2 linked regions of the Notamacropus eugenii genome follow. The protein of the gene in region 2 interacts with the protein of the main gene of each other region in a biochemical or structural test. Links are inferred from orthologs where the notes say so. Each region holds a gene or a part of one and is shown on either strand. Other genes may lie near its edges.

Region 1 (3,744 bases), on a different chromosome or scaffold from region 2:
TGTGTGTTTTTCAGAATTAAACTGCAGTATTTTGGAGAGTATATCAAGTCCCACGAATTCCTTGAAGAGGGTTTGGTGGGAGGCAGTGGGCTCTACCTCTTCCTCCTGGGGATATGAAGCTAACTAGGCAGATTGCATGGGGAAAATCCAGAGGCCAGGGCCAGGCTTTTCCCCCTTTTCCTCATGATTCCAAGAAGTCCCAGGAAGCTGCTGACAACAAGGCCAAGGGAATGGATACTTCAGATAGTCCTGGCAACCTGGCTGGCATCAGGATTAAAGATTCCCCAAGAGGGCAATGGGTAATGTACCTGTAGGGGAAAGTGTGCTTTTTTTTGCCCCAGGTCATTTTTCCTGTGGAATCAGCTTTGGGAATTTTGTCTAACCTGGCTATAATCCAAGCTGTGTTTGGCTCTACCTCGAATTCACTTATTTCTTCAGACTATCATCTTGATCCTTAACAGGCCCCATCAGATCACATCACTACCTCCTCCCTCCCCTTTCCCCTTGTCAGATTAGATGAGAGATCCATTCCTCAACCTAGCAATCTCCGTTTTCTCGGCGGGAAAAACCACATTACCCTCTGGGCTCCTTTTCCCTTGGAGAAGTACCTGGGTTGGGGGAGAGGGGGGATTAGCTTCCCCCTCCCCCGCCCCAGAAGAATTTAGGCCGGTGCCTACACACACACACACACACACACACACACACACACACACACGCATTGTGGTTCCAAAAAGCTTCGGTAACTTAAAGGATGTCGTTATTTAAACATCTCTAGGGAGGAAGAAGTGGGTGGCTAGGCCATGTGTCCTTAGTACTAAAGTTTTCTGAGAGTTTGCTGTCCCTGGAAGGGAAAGCGATTTGTCCATAGAGGTGGCCTTCCGATTCACCGCACTAATCTCACAATCTGATACAAACTACACCCAAGGCCAAACCTGAACACCCTTTTCCCGGGACTTTCAGCGTCCCAGGTTCCAGCCTCTCCCCTAGCTGCAGGTCGGCCGCAATAGCCGCAGTCCTTCGAAACCATTCATCAGGGACCAGGAGCCAGGCTTCCGAGATCCGGAATCCAGCTGAGGCAGATGCGTCGGCGCTGCTAAGGGAGCCCAGCTGTGATTCCTTCCCTCCAACTCCAGATGCCACACCTTCCACCCCCGCCTAGCTGAAGCTTTGTAAAGCACCTCTCTAGCACTTTTTCCTCCGCCCGGCTCGGAGTGCCAATTAGCAACCCCCCCCCGCCCCTTCCACGTCCCCATTGGCTCGCTTTGTTCAACCAGCTAGAGCACCCCCCCACCCCCTTTCTCCGCCGGTTCCTAATTGGGCCGGAGCCGCCCCTCCTCCGGGATAAGGGGCTGTGACAGGTTCTGAAAAGCTCAGACCCTGGGCGGCCCTGGCCTTGGTCCCTTCCCTTTACTTCGGAACTCAGAGGAGTTCCTCCCCCGATACCTCTTCCCTCCTCCCGAGCCGGGGACTCCTCGCCGCGTTTCATCCCGGATCCCCGCCTCCTAGGGCAGGGGGGTGGGAGGGGGTGATTGGTGAACCGGCCCCATCCGCAAGCCGCCGAGCTGCTCCGGAGCGAGATGAGCGCAGACGGCGACTCCGGGAGCCCCCTGCCCCGGCTCTGTAACCTGGAGAAGGGGCCGAATGGCTACGGCTTCCACCTCCACGGCGAGAAGGGCAAAGTGGGACAGTTCATCCGGCTTGTGGAGCCGGGCTCGCCGGCCGAAAAGGCGGGACTGCTGGCCGGGGACCGGGTGGTGGAGGTGAACGGCGAGAACGTGGAGCAGGAGAGTCACCAGCAGGTGGTGAGCCGCATCCGAGCGGCGCTCAGCTCCGTGCGCCTGCTGGTGGTCGACCCGGACACGGACGAGCGCCTGCAGAAGCTCGGCATCCCGGTGCGGGAAGAACTGCTGCGCGGCCAGCCCGGGGAGCGGCCAGCCGAGCCTGCCCCGCAGAGGGCCGCGGAGGAGCGGGAGGAGCGAGGCGAGCAGCAGCAGCCCGGAGCGGCCGGGGAGCCGCGGGAAGAGAAGAGCCCACCCGAACAGGTAACTCACTCCTCGCGGGTCTGGGATTCCAAAGGGGGAGGGGAAAGGAGGTTCGGGGAGGCCCCCTGGGGTCTTTGGCGTAGAGCCGCGTGCCGTAGCCCCCAGTTCGCCGCTGTTTTCGTTCTGAAGCCAAAGCCCGCGTATAGGGAGGCTGTTTCCGCTGCTGCTGGCCCGGCGGACGCGTGTCTCTCAGCAGATTGTCCCTGCTCCTGTCCCCTCGCCCCCACCCTGGTCCCGTCTGAAGCAGACCGGCTGCCGCCTCTTTCTTAGGGAAGTTGATGAGGTCGGCTCCTTTTCAAGCACAAACCTATGTCCGCTGCCCCACTCCCCATCTGTTCTCTAACAGGGAGCCCCCCACCCCCCAGCTGCAACCGAAAGAGTGGAGGGGTGGAAGCCTGTTTTCAGCGGGGAACAGGCGCTGTCACTGCCCCCTCGCGTGCGTGTGTGTCTGTCTGTCTGTGTCTGTGTGTGTGTTGGCCCTGAGCCTCCTCTCTGCAGCCACAGGTGGGTGGGAACTGGAGTTCAGGGATGCCTGGAGAGTCCAGCAGAGACTGCAAGAGCGAGCTAGAGGAATATACATCCTCATCCTGTCCCCCAAAAGGAGCCACAGTCGCGTGTGTGTGTGTGTGTGTGTGTGTGTGTGTGTGTGTGTGTGTGTGTGTGTGTGTGTGTGTGTGTGTGTGTGTGTGTGTGTGTGTGTATGTGTGTGTGTGTGTCTGTGTGTCTGTGTGTCTGTGTGTCTGTGTGTGTGTGTAGAACCGGGGGGGGGGGCAATATAGAGAAAAGGGGGAAATTGGAAAAGGTTGTTTTGTTTCTTTTAACCTTTAGGAGAGAGTAGGGGGGAGCGTAACTTGTGTATCATTAACCTCAGTCAGGTTGGACTTCATCTCTCCCGAAGTATGAGGCAGCTTCTAAGAAAGAAGGAACAAACCCCACTTCCTTGGGGCAGGAAGGGATTGGAACGGGGCAGAGGCCAAAGATGGGGGTGGGGAAGAGGAGAAAAGAAGTGAGGCTCCAGGGTAGCGATACAGCCACCGAAGAGGATTTATGAGTCTTAGGAATGTGAGAAGTAAGCAGAAGTCTTTATCTGGGAAGCTTGGGAAAAGAGGCTTGGAGGGGACCTGGTGAAGGGAAAGTGGGGGATTTCCCAGGGCAAACAAGCTGGGATAATTTGCTGCTTTTTCCATGTTTGGTGTTTCCCCAAATGATCCCAATTTGGATCAGCTGGTGGAGGATGGGGGCTGGAGAAATATAGAGTTGTTGTTCTGAGTTATCTGTCCCCTGAGATTATGGGAGATTTTAGAGTCAGGAAGGGGTGGGTCCCTGGCCTTGCTGAATTCCAGGGGCTCAGTGCTGGTGCCCAGCCTAGGAGGAACAGAACCTAGGTCCTCAGCATTTGGTCTCCCAGAAAATTGGACTGCTAACTTGCAACCAGATGGTTTCCTGCTGGCTAATGTGGACAGTGCTGGCACTAGAGACTGAGCAGAGCTCAGAGTGGAGGAAGGGCACCGTGCAGGGAGACTGGGGGCAGGGTGGAGAGGGCCAACAGGTTAGGTCGCCAGGAACCTTTTCCTGGATTTAGCTGGGTGCTGGGAACACCATCCTCCACCTCCACAGGCTCTTACTTCCTGTCTGTGCCAGGTTGGCTCTGCTGAAGGCACATGTTCAGGGAAGGGAGGGCAGGAGCGAGACTCAAGTTGGT
Region 2 (3,744 bases):
GAGCTCTCCTTCAGTGGTTTGCCCTCATTTAAAATTCCCCTGACACATACATAAAATTAAATATTAGGAAGGGTGATACAAGGTGGATATGAGAATAAACATTCCCCCCTCTAAAATGCATATTCACACATATATACACATATACACTAAGTACTATATATAGATATACATTCATATTTGATTTGCTTTTGGTTATCAAATTCTGTTAATGTTTGAATAAAAGGTTTTGGAAAATTGAGTAAGATAACTTCCATCAAAGTAGTTGTATTTATTATTTCATTGAGGAAAAAGTGAAAATGAAAGAGAGCAACTGAACATCCATCTTAGAAGTACTTTTCATCTGAAATAGAGCTATTTAGTTAAACTCTAAGACTATAAACCTAAAACTTAGCATTAAAAACCCTTACTAAATGATACTTCCAACTTTCATAGCTTATCTCACACACAAGAACAAAAGAATAATTTATTAAATATTAGTTGGATATACCTACAATTCAGTATATTGCTCTGCCCGTTCCTGTTTCCATGGAAACAATGAACTCTTCTCCAATTCATGAGTAGCATAACTAAGCTTTCCCCATGTTAGAAACTGGAATAATTTTCTTTCATTATTCAAAAGACAAATGTACTTTGAGGCAAACAGAATTTCCTCTGTCAAAGAAAAGTTTTCCTCCTCATCACCATCAAAAAAAGATGTGTTTAATTCAATATTCTTCCTCAAATGGCAGTACACAATGTCTTAGCTGCATTTGCAACAAAATAGATATGGGAGTTTTTGAAATCTCTAAATATGTAAAGGAGAAATATCTTAATCATTAGTTATTAACCACTTGGTAAATAACTTTCCTTTGGAAAAATCAAAGACGCTAACCATAGGGTAAGTCAGTGTTTAAGTAGCTCCTTTGAATTTTAGCTTCTAACAGATACTGCATTATTAAAAACAGTTAAAAAAGGGCCATAGATAGATTTCAGATCCATGAACTTGGATAGGAAAATAATTACATCTTTAATTTCACTAATGTATATGAATAACATTTCCTTAAATTATTCAAAAATCTTAATTTGAGAACAGGTCCATAAGCTTCACCAGACTGCGAAATGGATCCAAGAGAGAGAGACAGAGAGACAGAGAGAAAGAGAGAGAGACAGAGACAGAGACAGAGACAGAGAGAGAGAGACAGAGACAGAGAGAGAAACACAGAGAGAGAGATAGTTAGGAAACCCAGGTTTATAGGGTCTTGCAACTAGGGGAGCTCACCTAACTGTTCTCAATACACATGCATTTCTGCTAGCCTGCTTTCACGTTGTTTTTTTTAATCTCCCTTCTCATTTCAGCTGTCTCTAGGTAGAAAAATGAACCTTTCTTAGAGAAACACTCAAAGGTTATACTTCACAATAAACAAATTAAAAAACAATGCCTTTAGACCCAAACCCCTGGTACAAACCTGCACACTCCCCTCTTCCCTCAGGCACATGTCATTACCACGGATGACTAGCAAGACGTTTACCTGAAGAAAAGTTTCGAGAGGACATTTGCCTGTTCCAGGGGTGATCTCTGCATGATCCCTCGGGGGCTGCCGGGGTGCCCTGCAGGAGTAGACTGCAGTGGTGACTCTTAATTGCCAAACTCTCCGACCCAGTCCACTCTGTTCCTGCTGCCTTCTCTCTCCCCACCTTATTCACTTGGGTTGCTGTGATGTCATGTACCACCTCCTACAGACTCCCCCCACCCATCTCTCTCCTTGCCAGCCCCCTTACACCTCTTTCCCCTTTCCCCTCCTCCTCCCCGGATGCCCAGGTTAAAAGGCGAGCCACAGGCAGTCCAGCTTCACATTCGCCCCGGCTGCTTTTTCCCCACCCCACTCCACACTTCCCCTTTCTCTAGTGGCTTCTGAGCCTCCCGCCTTTCCCGCCCCCTAATTCTCTACTCCGCCTCCCTTGCCCCCAGCGGGCTCTTTCCCAGACCGAGAATTACCTCTTCTTCGCTACCTTGCACCTCCAGTGCAGTCCGAGATCTTGGCACATTCTCTGCGTCTTCCCCCTTCTCTCCGAAGCTCCCGGGGGCAATACGAAGCAAAGTTAGGGCAAATAATCAGTCGCTTGGGAAAACTTGTAGAGCACTCTTACTCGCCCAGTTTCCTTGGTACTAAGGACAGGTTACTTGCCAGTTTCCCTAGGCTTCTACCTGCCTCTCCTCCTACTCCTCCTCTTCCTCTTCTCTAAAATCCTTTGCCAATTATTATTAATCGTGGTGCATTTTGGAAAAAAAAAAAAGCCACAAAAATAGGTCTCTACCTGTTCTAAAATGCAGGCTTATGGAGCTGAAAGGTTCCTGTGGGGGTGTTTGGTGTGTTGATGTTAATGAGTTTCTTTACCAAAAAAAAAAAAAAAAAACGAGCCTTTTTTTGCTTCAGACTTTCAAGGGAAGATTCAAAAGTCTTTAGCAACCCAATTTGGAAAAATTGCTTATTTAAAAAGGAAAATCCTCCTCCGAAGTAGGTGTAGATTTGGTTCTGTTGCCCCCCCCTCAGATCTGTTCATGGCTCGTCAGTTTCCAGCAGCCTTGGTTGGCAGTCTCTCTCCATATCCACGGTTACTCACTGCACTAGGTAAACGTACCTGTCCTCCGTCAGATTTCTCAGTTCACTTTCTGTAAGCAAAACCTGACTGACCCTGAAAGCAATCAAACGTCTTTGAAGCGCAAACTCGGCACAACTTTGCCAGGGATCCTGAAAGAAAAAAAATACATGGAAGAAATCACAATTCTTCACTTTTAGGAAGTTCTCGAAAGCATTGTACTGCCTTGAGTTCTGATGCGTGAGTTCCTTTCCTTGTCTTTCTTTCTTCCTTCCTTTTATAAATTTTTTTTAAAGTGCCAAGCACACCTTTGGTAAATTCTCCAAAGGTATTGTTAAAAAAAAAAAAAAAGGTACGCACTGACATTTGAGTTGAACAAATTGGAATGGGAGAAAGTTTGTTGAGTATTATTTGTGTTGTTTCTTCAGCAAATTTGTTTACTTTGAAATTATTGGATTGTTGATTTACATATATCCCAGTGAAGTATGGCTATAATCTTCATTGTATAATGCCAGTGAAGGAATTAGTCATATGTATTTAAAATAATGAATGCATGGTTTACATTTCAATAATACCCTTTTTCTTCTTAAATCTTAAAGTGTTTTTACAAAGGAGTATCATTGTATTTTTTTGCCAGCTGGGAAAATAACAGATTAATATTCATATAAAGTCAGACACCAAATCAGCAGCGGAGACAAAAATGGGGTCAATATTTCTGACTCCTATTCCCTTGCTAAACTTCTCAAGCAGGCTTTCCCTCCCTCCAGTAAGAGTTCCTGGACATAAACTTTGAAGCTATATTTTTACTATTTACTTTTCCCAGGTATGTCAATTGGGCTCATTAAATGCCCTTTTCACCCTCTCTGGCTGTTTACTTTACAACTAAGTGTGACCCACCATGTGTACTGCACAAGTTTCAAAACCGACAAGTATACAGTTCCTCTTGGCTGCCAAGGAGCAAGTGATAATAAAGGAATTAGGAATATTGATTCAAAAGAGATTCATAGAAGTTGACTAAGTAGAAGAAATAAAAGAGACCAATTTCAACAAACATGCATCACTCCCAATACTACATTAAAATGTATTATGGTAGGCACTCTGAATACAAAGATGAAAATGTCATAGTCCTTAGCCTTGAGGAGCTTACATTTTACTGGGATTGAGGGG

Evidence for each region.
Region 1: the proteins of CFTR (region 2) and NHERF1 form a complex in vitro, tested with the Homo sapiens proteins (9 studies listed by BioGRID and IntAct, with this or other methods). The link is inferred for Notamacropus eugenii from reciprocal best matches to the Homo sapiens genes CFTR and NHERF1.

Annotation. Positions count from the first base shown.
Region 1 is NC_092873.1:340,487,850-340,491,593, forward strand, and holds the start of NHERF1 (Na(+)/H(+) exchange regulatory cofactor NHE-RF1), read left to right. Parts: upstream 1-1,359; 5' UTR 1,360-1,577; coding exon 1,578-2,042; intron 2,043-3,744. UniProt on the Homo sapiens protein: Scaffold protein that connects plasma membrane proteins with members of the ezrin/moesin/radixin family and thereby helps to link them to the actin cytoskeleton and to regulate their surface expression. Necessary for recycling of internalized ADRB2.
Region 2 is NC_092874.1:135,437,322-135,441,065, forward strand, and holds the start of CFTR (cystic fibrosis transmembrane conductance regulator), read right to left. Parts: upstream 2,813-3,744; 5' UTR 1,976-2,812; intron 1,740-1,975; exon of another isoform or gene 1,588-1,739; 5' UTR 1,562-1,587; coding exon 1,509-1,561; intron 1-1,508. UniProt on the Homo sapiens protein: Epithelial ion channel that plays an important role in the regulation of epithelial ion and water transport and fluid homeostasis. Mediates the transport of chloride ions across the cell membrane.